2 linked regions of the Mytilus edulis genome follow. The protein of the gene in region 2 binds, or shares a complex with, the protein of the main gene of each other region. Links are inferred from orthologs where the notes say so. Each region holds a gene or a part of one and is shown on either strand. Other genes may lie near its edges.

Region 1 (7,206 bases), on a different chromosome or scaffold from region 2:
TGGAAATTATATTAAAAAAGATAGGTCACCGATGAGTTGAAAAAGATATTTCAGGCCACAGACCACAATTAATTCCTCTATCAGTTCTTTATAACCTTTTGCATCATTAAAAAAATTGCACCATGCACTTTTGTCCAATTTTTTGTGTGTGTAATGTATTGTCCTAGTCCAAATATATATCCAAAATTCAGAAAGATTGAAGCAATCACTTTTACAAATTTAGCCAATACACATCCATACCCCTATTGACAAGTCAAGAGATGTTCCGAAAACTGTAAATATCACCTTTTTGCACTTGACCTAATCACTCATTCCATATCAAAATCAGTTAAAATACAACCTCCAAAAATTTATTTGACCTCTCTTCTTTCATTTCCACCCAAAAAGATTTAAGGAATGAGTGAGGAAAGGAAAGAAAAAAAATTAAGGAAAAATACACTCTAATTAAAAGGAACTATATTCGTGGACAACGAAAAGCGGTGTCATTAATTGTGGTCTTGGGCCTATTAGGGGCCTAAAACTTGACCAATTCTAATAAAACTTGGCATGATTCAAGCTTAGTATATTATAAAACAGGTTACAAAGTTTCAAAGCCATATGATACCAAATAAAAAAAATGTGGCATTTTTTATATCTGAATTTTGGGTGCTGAATTGTGGCGTTGAATTAGAACAATTAAAACTATCAAATTTGAGCTTCTAAAAACCAAAAGATACCAAAACTAACACTTTTTAATGTCTCTATGTATAAGTTAACATCTATTTAAAGCAACAGAAAGCATATTTCATGTATCAGACTTATGCAAAATGGCCAGAAGTTAATTTTATATGAGCCTGTGCCAAAAAATAGAGGTTTTCAATTAGGGTGAGGCCTTATATCAAATGTAATATTTTTCACTTACCACAATTTTCTGAAGTTGTTAAGTTATCAAACAAACTTTAACAGGTTATAAATGTACTTTTGATGGAAATATAAGTTTCAAATAGCATAAAGCATGTGGATAAAATGGTCTTTAGCAATGTTATGCTTAAAAAAACAGATTGCCAGTTTAGGCCGTTCCCCACATTTGCATATTTAAAAGCATATAAATGATATGGGAGATGGAGATATACTTCTTTTTGCTAAAATCTGTGCTCAGATATGATAAAACATGGAGCCTGGATGTAACAAGACTGTCACTTTCAACTATATATACAGACAGTATGGTCTGATGCAAAGTTTATTAACTTTACTGTTTAAAAACTGAATGAAATGTCAGCCTTAAAAGGCCAATATTTAAACCACTAGCTATCCAACAGAAGAAAGTAAAGGTAGTCTGTAAAACAGAAATGGTTAAGCAACCAGTAATAAGTGTTTTTGATGTAGGTTCAGTGCAATCTGTTTTGGAATACAACTTTTAAGTGCATAGAACTTCACATTTCACCTGCTGCGTATACTGACCGTTAGACTTAGACTATTAAAACAGCACATTTTGCACTCTTTTTATGTTTTTATCTACTTTTTTTTTGTGTTCAGAGTTCACAAATAAGTTAAACAACTGAAATAAATACCACAAACACAAATAGATACCAGAAAAAAACTGTCAGAGAGAAATTAAGCATGCTGTTTTTGAAAAAATAGTGAAAAAAGTGAAAAAGCTACATTTTAGGCATTTAACCTGAAAAGTGACTTTTTCACAAAATTTCTATCAAATGAAAGTGAAAATCATTTCTTCTCATATAGTTTGACAAATCAATACCAATAGATCATTCAGAAAAGATGCCAAAGTAAAAATTCTAAATTTGCTGAAATGCACCTCTTAGGCCACAGACCACAATTAATTCCTCTATCAGTTCTTTATAACCTTTTGCATCATTAAAAAAATTGCACCATGCACTTTTGTCCAATTTTTTGTGTGTGTAATGTATTGTCCTAGTCCAAATATATATCCAAAATTCAGAAAGATTGAAGCAATCACTTTTACAAATTTAGCCAATACACATCCATACCCCTATTGACAAGTCAAGAGATGTTCCGAAAACTGTAAATATCACCTTTTTGCACTTGACCTAATCACTCATTCCATATCAAAATCAGTTAAAATACAACCTCCAAAAATTTATTTGACCTCTCTTCTTTCATTTCCACCCAAAAAGATTTAAGGAATGAGTGAGGAAAGGAAAGAAAAAAAATTAAGGAAAAATACACTCTAATTAAAAGGAACTATATTCGTGGACAACGAAAAGCGGTGTCATTAATTGTGGTCTTGGGCCTTCAATTTTAGAGCCAAAAAATGGCATTTTTCCACCAAAGGGAGATAATTTGGAACTTTTTCAATGATGTATACATTTTAAAAGTCATCTGGGGCCAACACGAATTGATTGTTTTGAATGATTTTTGTGCCATATGATAAAGTAACAACTACAAAATGAAATAAATAAAATTTGTAATGAAAAACAAATGTTTGATTTTTTCTGAAATTTTTATACCCTCGAGCCTCCTTAAAGAGAGGGGACAGGACCTTTATTGGAACTCTGGGATCAGTTGTTTTTAAGATGGGGATTACTGGATTGACACTTTCCGGGATCCAGGACTTCTTTTTTTCAAATTTCAGAATGTTGGGATTTACGTTTATTTAAATTTGGGACCCCAGGATTTCATGTCTTTAACGTCCGTGATTTCGGGATCAGGATCCTCTATATAACATAAAGGTAGTATGAAGGTTTATATTATAAAGGAAATATGTTTTTGTGAGACGAGTGTCTGTGGTATTAGTCCAAGATATAATTTATTTATAATACATCACATGTCTTTTGCTGTTTTGGGATTGGTGTGTGTAACTTGTAACATGGTAAGACATTTGACTGTTGTACATTTCTTACCCAATGACATATCCAATTATTATGAGCTGTATCAAACGATTGATCACGCCGACTTTTTTGCTACGAATATGAACTATTCTCGGCGTGTCATACTCGAAAAATACACCAACAGCCTTGTTACAAATACTGCCCATATTCCTACTTTCAGTTTCCACCGAAATCACATGACTTGTCATTCGGAGCTTCTTTTGAATCTTCAAACAAAATTTGGCGGGAAAAAGTTTTTGTAATTCTTTTATTATTGTTAGTGTGACTGATAGGATATTTATATCAATCACGAACAATTTATATTTAAATATACAATTCCTTGCTCTGAGGTACGGCAATTAAGTAGAGTTGGCACATCCCCGTACACCTAATTAGGAAGATACCCCCTTTTACATGTGATTCAAATAATTAACAATTTTTTGGTTAATCATCCGGCCGAGGATTTTGAAAATTAATAACTCAGCCAGCCTTGATAATCACAAAAATAAATGGTTTGTTCTGTGGTAGTTTAAAAATAAATTACCTGACTTGTAATGTATTGAAAATAAATAACTCAGTATGAGATGGCAACAGATTCTTCATAAATTAATCTTTTCCCCCAAAAAAATCGGGAAACACTTCTCAATGCAATTTTTTGGATAATAAAAGTATAAATATTATTTAAAAATATACTTAAAACGTCTGAAAATTAGTTTCATTTAATTTGAGGTATATTGTCCCAGGAAACCTTACCTCACTTTTATTTTAACAGGGCAATATTAAACTACATTGAGTCAAATGACTACAGTAGGAAATGTTAAAACCGAATGCTTGTCTCCATACCAAATTGTGTTAATGGCGAGTGCCTTGCAAGAAGCAAGTTCTGTTTTCCCTCACACGTAGCCCTGATTTTTCGGGGTCAATGTTTCTTATTTATTTGTCTTTTGTTCATTGATTGTCCTTCTGTATTCTGTTAGTGTTGCATTCCTTTTGTAATCTAGTAATTTCGTCATGAACTTGATCACGAGTTAAAAAAAACCAGCAGCCACTGACTTAACTATGTGAATTCCATTTTTGCTTTATCATGCACATTGGTCTTTTGATGTTGTCCCTAGAAACTTATGTTTTACATTGAATTTATACATTTAGCTATGAGACCAAAATATTGTCAAAAAATTATTAAAACAAAACTTGCATTTTCAGATTATGAAAGGGTCTTCAGAACACCCAGAAAGCATGATTTTGCATCATTTGTTCAATAGCTTCTTAGGCCGTCAGTGGCTCCAAAACCCTTAAAAAAAAAAAATTCTCGCTTCGATCGGCGGAATAGGTTTGCCCATACTTTTAAAAGAGGCTAGTTACAACCAAACCTTAATACTATGTATGTATGCAAAACATGTATATGCAGTTGCGAATATAAAAGATTCATTTCTGCAGAGGATGATGATTAATTCTGATTAAATGGTACATAATGACTTGACTATACATGTAATATTTATAATTAACAAATCATTTAAAAATTGTACATGTTTTCGAATTTCATAAATATAGTTGTGAAAATGGATAATCAGTCCCTTGCTTTAATGAAAATGAAAAATCTTGCTCCAATAGTGCAGAAAATGAATAAGCTGTCCTCTTAGTTTACAAAAATAAATACTAGTAACCGATCAAAAACAAATCCTCCTGACACCCCCCCCCCCCCCCCCCACGCCCGCCCCCGAATATCAAACGGTCGTCCCCTAAGGTCACCATATTGTCTGGAACAATGGGCAACTTCTTACCGTATAGTAAGAAAAAGGGTACAGAAATAACTTGATAACTCGATGAACTGACAATTTGCATGCGAGTTTTCAAAGGATTTACATGATATAACCAGAAACATTGTAGCAGCACAACTATAGAACGAAGTGTGAACAACTTTTTGAAATGGCCGGACAAAAAAAACAACATAAAGACACTTGCAGCTAATAAAAGCTAATGTAACTATGACAAGTGCAAAAAATAAGATCACAAAAATACTGAACTCCGAGGAAAATTCAAATCTTGGTACAGGGATTTTCTTATACAGAGAATGGTGGATTTAACCTGGTTTTATATATATATTTTAGTTAGTTAGTAGTAGCAAATTGGTGCATATATTCTGCCCGTATTTGATTTCTGTTGCTCGATATTGGGATATTTTGTAAAAAGAAATTGAAATAATAGAATTGTAAAGATGGAGAAAAAAACTTGAGGTGCCAGGATTATACTGGATGCATCAATAATAACACCTACTTTAAAGTCAATTAGTTACAAATTGCAGATAAATCGCAATTTCTCGGACGAAAGATAACATATATAAGTCTACACACTGCTTTGTCATCTCTCTTTTAAAAACATTTTTTTTCAAACAATATACCTCAGTAACAAGTAATTTCTAACAACGCACTTTAATTGTTTTTAATCAAACATTTCACCGACTTCGGTTTTATGCTCATATTTTGCTACTCTATATATAATCTGTCAGCAAATGACAGGTGCATTATCATAGAGGGGTAGGAAACAATATTGAAGTTAAAAAATGGCTTCTTATAATGAAATATATTTAAAAACAAAATACAATCACAAACACTCAATTAACTCAAAAAAATCAAACAGATGCTTAACTTTTTTAGTGACTGACTAAATTTATAATAATGAAATACACGAAAATATATAACCTGACAATAGAAGACTTGGATAGAGAGTTGTCTCATTGGCGCCCATACCTCATTTACTTATTTCGATATGAAATTTAAAAAAAAAGAAAATAACAATTAAAGGTTTAGATCAAATTTTCCTCTTTTAGACAATTTTTTTTTATATCTATCCTTATCCATGTGTAAAGGTAACGACACATTTAGAAAAGCTCAAGCTGCATCTTTATTCTTTGATAGTGTAGATGTTCCATCCAAAATAGATACAACACAGAAATACAATGTAATAATCTCTATCTTTTTCAGTAAAAAGTTTACGAAGAACATGTGTAGTAAAAGTCAATGAGGAAGCAACCAAATGCAAAATAAGTTTGTTTTCCAGTCGTTAATTTCAACCTTTTTTAATAGAATATTTCATAAATGCTGTATATGACTAGGTATAAACTTGACAGTCTAAATTTCCGTCGAAAAATGAATCTTTAAATTTAGGAATATAACGATTGTTTTTGACTCGTTCTGTTGTTAATAAAAAAAAAAACTAATTTGTTATTTTCCATTGACGTTTTTACTCCTTTGGGATTCAGTTTTATTTTGTTATACTATTCATTAAAATTAAAATTCCCATAGGCGGATCCGGGGGAGGGGCAGGCCCCTTTCGTGGGAAAAATTTGGTTGATTAGATAGGGAATCATTGAAGCATGACTGGAGCGGGCCCCCCTTACTTAGGTCAGTCAGCGGGCCCTCCCTAATTAAGGAAAGTTCTGGATCCGCCACTGATTCCAGCTCCTTTGTTCTACCAGGGGTGATCTGAGCCCGACCATCTAATCCAGATCACCCTAGCTTGAGTTTCTTATATTATGCATGCTTTCTTTTTTTCTGTAACATTTTGATGGGAATGTCAAATCGACAATAAAACTTAAAAATATTTATACAGAAAAGACTAACTATTATAATGTGTATAGAAATAATCGAGTATCCATGTTAGGAATCGAACTCAAGATCTTTAGCATATATACCAACGAGTCATACCCTAGGCCTACACCTGGACGAATGAACACAAACTAACTGCTAGTTTAAATATATTTATTAAAGTTATGTACACCGGTATGAAAACATTACCACGTGTATTTGTTTATAAAATTACACGTGTTTGAAAGTATATAATAGGTTAAATGTTTTTCATTGGTCGAGTTAGAACTGACCATAATATTTGAATAAGGTCATTTCAAATATTTCGTGCTATACTTTTGGCGGTTTTGTATATTAAAGATATTGTCTTTTGGTGCAGTAAAGTTTCCCACCCTCCCACCCGACTTAATGTATTTTATTTGTGTTATTTTTTATTAATGTGAATAATAATGTGTGTAAGAACAGAATCTTTATTTGATTCATAAAATGTATTTTCGTACAAAATGAAAATTGTTTTTATTTTTGTAGATTGGTTTTTGTGTTTGTTACCTGCAGCGGCCTAGGCAGACAGTAACACTGATGAACATTTTTTACGTTGCATTTGTCTTTGATAAAATTAAAGCTTTGCTGCACACTGTCAGGCGAGCTGATCCCATACAAAGGTGTTGAGTTTATTTTGTAAATAATTTATGTTCGCTTGAAGTTATGAATTAGAAAATAACATATTTTAACTTTGTATTTGGGGTTCATACAGGGTAAATACCATATAAAGTATATTATGATGATTATGTGAC
Region 2 (6,956 bases):
TGCCAAAATAAGACTGCATGACTTCCACCATCTTGAGAAGAAACTCAAACACCATAGAGGCATTGACATTCTGTTTGGTTACTGCGGCTAACCAGATGTTGGACCTTTTGATGTGGAAAAAACTGGTTCTGGCAATATTGGTTACAGGTGAACGGACTTGTTGTCTGGCATGAATGACATTGACCCTAAATGCATCAACTGCATTACGTCTGAAATATAAGGCAGCAATACTTTTTGTAAATGATTGCAGAATACATGTAGCACAACTCTACCACTAATTAATGTGTTGTTCACAAATAATTAACATATCAAAATAAAAGCAATCTTTGAGTGGATACTGAAAACAAAGACAAAGTTTAATTTCTTAAGAAAATGATGAAATGTTCATACAACAAAATTGTTGCCCTGAAAAAGGAAAATTACATATACTTTTTAGCCACTGCTCAATAATGAAATATTTGACATGCATGATATTAAACATAAGTTCAGGTGTAGATTGGGGAAGGGGGGGTAATTTATGTCTTAGAATTGGGAGCGACATTTTGCAAAGCATCCAGTTTTGTTTCATTGTTGAGCTATTCAACAAAGAAAATAATATATTATTGTGTCATAAAGTCTGTCTGACTTAAGGTAGCACAATGCAAAGATTTTTTACTTCCAATCTCCAACCTTTAATATGCTGTAACTTTCTTATGACTGCATGTAAATTAATAAAAGAGGTATATATAGATAAATAAAAGATTAATCTTTTAAATGAATGCAATATTTTTGTTCTGCAATCATTATGTTACAATTATTATGTAATTAACGGCAAAATCTTGGTCAGTTCACTTGTATGAATTTAGCTCTGTCATCTCTATAACTACACAAGAAATTTTAACGTTATCTTAATCAACACAGTAGGAGCTACAAAAGGGTGTCTCAAATTATGGCTATTGTATTCTATTCTCTCATAAATCTGTAATGAGTGTAAATATCCTTACCACATAAAAGTAGAGATTGTTTGATAAGGTGTAAAATTTGATCTCTACATTCTATCCAAAATCTGAGACACTCTTTTGTAGACAATGGCTATAGGAACAACATAGTATAAAATCAACCCTCTCTGGGTATCCATGAAGAAGCTAATTTCAATTGAAAGTGTAAATTTCTTGTAAAATTTTGTAGACACAGTTAAAATTATAATTGATTACATAATTGTTGTACAATACTAACATTGCATTAATTTGAAAGAGTAATAATCTGTTAGCTATCCATAAATACCAATTTAATAAATTTTCAAGCATTATAAAGAAAGTTACAGCATTTTAAAACTGGGGCATTGGAGGTATAAAATCTTTGTACTGTGCTACCTTAATTCAGTTTGTGAAACAACATGAAAGAATGAACACTAGAATAACCTTTTTCACAATCATTATTTATAAAACTTTAATTTGATAAGTTTACCCAATATCATCTCTGTATACCCTGGATATGAGGACCTCTCCTTTGTGGTTGTAAATAAATAGTCCACCAATCATTTCTTTATTTTTCTGTTACCTGAAAACCAAAAATACATCATGTATAGAAAAACCTTGATTGTATGTATAAGTTTTACCTGATATTTAGTTCAGTGTACACTACCAATGGATAAATAATTTAAGAAAACATTTATATATCAGTTTCAAAGGGTATACTGATCTTTACTGTATATTTTGTAAAGTAAAAAACAACTTTTTTACAGGTTCAAACATGTATAACCCATAAAAGATAAACATAATATTAATAATAAAGTAATGTGAGAAATAACTTTGATCAATAAATGAGTAACCGTGTTACCATGTACCACATCAAGAAACAAAGTACATGTAATACCATGAGACAAGTTGAGTCAAATATGATGATAGGATGATTGAACTCATTATCATGATCATAGATACTAGGATTGAAATTTTGTATTTGCACCTGACAAACGTTTCATCAACGGTATACAAAAGACTCATCAGTGAAGCTCAAATAAAAAAAAAGCTTTAAAGGCCAAATAAATTACGAAGTTGAAGAGCATTGACTGGTAGACTAAAACAGATGCCTCATAAATTGTATCAAGTTCTTGACTTTTTTAGTTACTATAATGCAGAGCTTTCAATTATTTGTTTAAGAACACAATTTGTCTCATTGGAAATTAAAGAAGCCACAGCAAGATTATTTATTTTGTTCAATCATGTTAATAGCAACACAACGATAAAGAAAGGTTTATATGTGCATATAAACTTTCAAAACAATTAGCTGAGCAAATCATAACAAAAACATTTACATTTGATCAACAATCATCTATCCACTCATTTGTTTTTGCTTACATATTATTCTGGACCAAATAACATTGTTTAATCAAATTGGGATAAAGAAGCTGGTGTGAACAGTCAACAGGGCCAACATATCAAGGGCTAGGGAGCATCACGTCAAAGACTTGGAGAACAGTCAACAGGGCCAACATATCAAGGGCTAGGGAGCATCACGTCAAAGACTTGGAGAACAAACTGGAAACATCAACAGGGCCAACATATCAAGGGCTAGGGAGCATCACGTCAAAGACTTGGAGAACAAACTGGAAACATCAACTGGGCGAATCAACCAGAGCTATTATAATAATAAATAAGCTTTATTTAGAGTCGGCAAGGTATACAAACATAGACAAACATAAGCTCTAATGAGATTTTAACCGACATAAATAATTGAATAGAATGAGTGTAAAAAAAACACAGATATAAGATTTAATTTTGACCTATACCAGTTATTCAGCAGACCAAATCTGTGTTAATTTGTTTGATTGTGGGTTATATCAAAATATTTAGTGATTAAACCCAAGAAAAGTGACGCGATGTCCCTGATGATACGCCCACTTGATGATTTGTACTGCTTCCAGTTATTCTATCACAGGAATTTCAATCAAAGAAGTGAATGTAATAGAAATTATTAGTAGTTGTTCATTAACTTTAAAGGAAAACATATATGTATCTTTTTTACCGGCACAAATTATAAATAATCATTTCTAATGAGCAAGAAAGAAAATCGAAGTGTGGAAAGATCACTTCCGGTTTCAGAAAAGTCAATAATATTAGAACCAAATCAGTAGTAACTTTAATTTCCGTATTTGCAGTATTAAATTTAAATCCTTATATTGATTCCTAAGCACCACAAGAATCCTTATAAGGAAAGGTATATTGCAGGTTCTTACAAGTGTTTCACTAAACCCCTTTCTAAATTTCTTACTGCCATACTCACTGCAGTCAAAGTAGGACTTCAGAAATATTCCGAAACGACATATTCAAGAAGTGGTGTTAATCAGATGTGGATATTGAAAAAATCAAAAGAGTTATTGGTGAATTTACAATCTCATTTATTAAAACAGTGTACCAACATTAAAACCTTTGATTTTTCAACTCTTTATACCACTATTCCACATACTAAAAACTTAAAGCTCGACTGAAAGACCTCGTCAACCTATGTTTCTTTAACAAAAAGGCTGGCACTAGACGTTTTTAAATATCATCTAGTTTTGGGCAGAAATTCAGCTTACTTTGTGAAAAATCATACAGGGTCAAGCAAAAAATACACCGAAGAGGATATCACTGTCATGCTGGACTTTTAAATTGACAACATATTTGTTGAATTTGGAGGTTTAGTCTTCCAACAGACTATTGAAATCCCAGTGGGTACCAATTGCGCTCCTCTACTTGCAGATTTGTTTTTGTATTCCTATGAAGCAGAATTTATCCAAGGGCTTGTACAGAAAGGAGAAAAGAAGTTAGCCCAGTCTTTTAATTTCACCTTTCGGTATATTGATGATGTACTGTCTGTTAATGATAATAGATTCAGTGATCACTTACATTTAATATATCCAAGTGAACTTGAAATTAAAGATACTACCGACACAGATAAATCTGCTTCATATTTAGACCTTTTTCTCGAAATGACTACTGATGGTAGGTTGAATACCAAAATTTATGACAAACGCGATGATTTTAATTTTCCTATAGTCAACTTTCCATTTCTGTGTAGCAACATCCCAGCGGCACCAGCATATGGAGTATATGTGTCTCAATTGATACGTTACTCTAGAGCTAGTTCAAAGTACGTTGATTTTGTTGAACGAGGAATACTGCTTTCTCAAAAGTTGCTAAGACAGGGCTATGAATCAATCAAATTAAGGTCATCACTCAAGAAATTTTACGGTCGTCATCTTGATCTGATTGGCAATTATGAAAAAAGTGTGTTAGAAATCATATCTGATATTCTTCCTCAGTCATAATAACCTTCCATTATTATCGACTGACTGAACAAAGAAATAACACGACGGATGCCGTATACGGTGCAGGAAATGCTTACCCTTCCGGAGCACCTGATTTCACTCCCGGTTTTCATGGTTTTTAGTGGAGTTCGTGTTGTTTTTTATTTCTTATTTATAACTATTGATGTAAATGTCCTTTGGTTTTGTGAGTCTTTGTTTACTCCTTGGTTTTGTTTGTTATTGTCTTTATCGTCCGCATTTTCTGAGTCGGACTACATTTTCAAGGATTTGTATAGTACTACTATAATTCATAGTTTTTGAAAATAAATGCTATCTTATTCTCATTGTCTTAAAAAAAAAAAGAAAGAAGTTCATACAATGCAAAAAGATTCAAAGGCGACCTGGTTTCCTCAAATGACCTTATGACCATTGTAAGATTTGAAATATTCAAATTTTAAATATAAGTTTATTATTTATTAAATGTTTAACTAACATATTCATTTATTCTTGTAAGAATAAGAAACACAGTTTTTACTATTTATTTATGAAAGCGCTAATGTAACGTTGCGCTCTTTTGAACAACACATTTTCCCGTTTCTGTTTTATGACGTTACGCCTTTGACGTGCGCTTCGTCGTCTAGACTTTATTTTGATAACATAAGGATGCACATTATTTTATTAGACAGATCAAAGTTGAGAATCGATTATTAGCGACCATATGATTTTTATAAAAGAATAAAAGATAGATACATGGTGCAACTTAACTCGCATACTCATTTCTTCGCCCTAAGTTAAACTTTATGTGATTCGTACAATTCTCAACTCTGGAGAGGAGGAAATTCTAAAATTGTGCCGAATTTTGACTATTTGTTAAAAAGAAAATGGCTACCGATAGACGGAAAGAAGACTGTCTGGACTTCAGTGATGTAAAACGGACTCGTAGTACGAATTTAGCGCAGCTTACTAAATTGTACAAAGAATTGGAGAAGAATTTAATTTCATATGAGAACGTGGAACATGCAAAACAATTATATTCAAAGTTATGTGAAAGGTTTGAACAATTTAAGTTAGCACACTTACAGTGTTTAGATTTGTGTACACAATCAGAAGTTATAGAAAATTTGGAAGTGAACTATGAACGTTGTCATGAGAACTTTGTAGAATTCCGGGATAGATTTTCTCAGTATATTGCGAGTGAAAAATCGCATGAAGAGGAAATACCCGAAGAAAGTGATACAGTTTCAATTGATAGCAGTTTGAGTTCACGATCTTCAGTTTCATCACAATCTAGATTTCGCAGTGCCAAAGCTAAGCGGCTAATCGCAGAACTTAAACTCAGGAAATTATCAGAACAGCATGAACTAGAGCGTGCACAAATAGAAATTAAATTTAGACAACAGGTATTTAATCAACTATCCGAGATGGAAGAGGCCAATATCGAAGAATCAGTGTGGCAAGAAGCAGTGGAAGAAGACACAGATAATACCAGTGGAATCGTGAACATTCGGAACATTTCGCAAACAGTCTCGCAAACATTACAGAGCTCTGTTCCTGCGAGTGAAAAGTGTATTAATATGAACTCTCTTTCCGGACAAACTGCAGCAACTGATAAACCAAAGATGAACATTAATAACAGTACACAGGGAATCAGTGCTCAGTCTGGATTTTCGGATGTAAGTGTTTCCAGCATAGATTCAGCTTTTCAACGCCTAGCATCTACACTTCACGAAGGGTTTAATTTGCCAAAACCAGAATTATTAACTTTTAATGGAACTCCGTTAGACTATGGAACTCCGTTAGACTATAGTAAGTTTATAAGGAACTTTGAGACAAACATTGAAGGTAGAATAAGTGATAATAGTTTGAGACTGAGTTATTTAATTCAGTACTGTAGAGGTGAAGCCAAGTGTTGTATAGAAGATTGTGTATTATTAGATTCTGATGAGGGTTACAAACGTGCTAGGGCAATATTGTACTCCCGATACGGTAGGCCACATGTAATTGCTAGATCATTTATTGAAAAATTAGTGTACGGCGCTCAGATTAAAGCGTCAGATATTGAAGGTTTATCTAAATTGGCATTAGAAATGCAAAAATGTGAAATCACATTGTCTCAGTTAGGTTTTAATTCAGATATTGATAATTCTAAAAATTTAAGGTGTATTGTTAAACGCTTTCCAATGCATATGAGAACAAGATGGGTCGACATTGCTCATTCAATTAGTGAGTCTGGTAGAGAACCCCGTTTTTCTGACTTAGCTAAATTTGTAGACGAAAAATCACGCATTGCTAGTTCTATGTATGGGTACGATCTTTGTAGAGAAAACAATCAGAACAAGACTGATAAAAGGGTTTTTACAAGTAACCATCATAATAATGATACAGTTAATAGTAAGGTTACTACGTTAAGTACTCAAAGTTTAAATAACACAGCTAAATATGAGCACAAATGTAAATGTTGTACAGGTACTTGTGTAGATTTTACAGCTTGTAGCAAATTCAAGTCAATGAGTTTAGATGATAGGTATAAATTAGTACGCATGTTAAAATTGTGTTATAATTGTTTAAAAGGGAAGCATTTTGCTAACAATTGTAGAAAACCAAAGGCATGCACTGTATCTGACTGTAATGTTAAGCATAATATTTTATTGCATAGTTGGTCTAAGCCCGGTTTTGATCATGCAGCTAC

The links.
Region 1: the proteins of AP-2 complex subunit mu (region 2) and P2X purinoceptor 4-like are in contact, whole or in part, in a crystal structure (PDB 2BP5), measured with the Rattus norvegicus proteins. The link is inferred for Mytilus edulis from reciprocal best matches to the Homo sapiens genes AP2M1 and P2RX4. Residues at the interface, in NP_446289.1 of Rattus norvegicus: Phe174, Leu175, Asp176, Lys203, Asn217, Leu316, Ala317, Gln318, Lys319, Glu391, Val392, Pro393, Lys400, Val401, Arg402, Tyr403, Leu404, Ile419, Lys420, Trp421, Val422, Arg423, Tyr424, Ile425; in NP_113782.2 of Rattus norvegicus: Val375, Glu376, Asp377, Tyr378, Glu379, Gln380, Gly381, Leu382, Ser383, Gly384.

The regions. Positions count from the first base shown.
Region 1 is NC_092349.1:77,591,583-77,598,788, reverse strand, and holds the start of P2X purinoceptor 4-like, read right to left. Parts: upstream 3,031-7,206; 5' UTR 2,996-3,030; coding exon 2,862-2,995; intron 1-2,861. UniProt on the Homo sapiens protein: ATP-gated nonselective transmembrane cation channel permeable to potassium, sodium and calcium. CTP, but not GTP or UTP, functions as a weak affinity agonist for P2RX4.
Region 2 is NC_092356.1:16,485,850-16,492,805, reverse strand, and holds the start of AP-2 complex subunit mu, read right to left. Parts: upstream 3,106-6,956; 5' UTR 3,004-3,105; intron 1,540-3,003; 5' UTR 1,521-1,539; coding exon 1,447-1,520; intron 210-1,446; coding exon 1-209.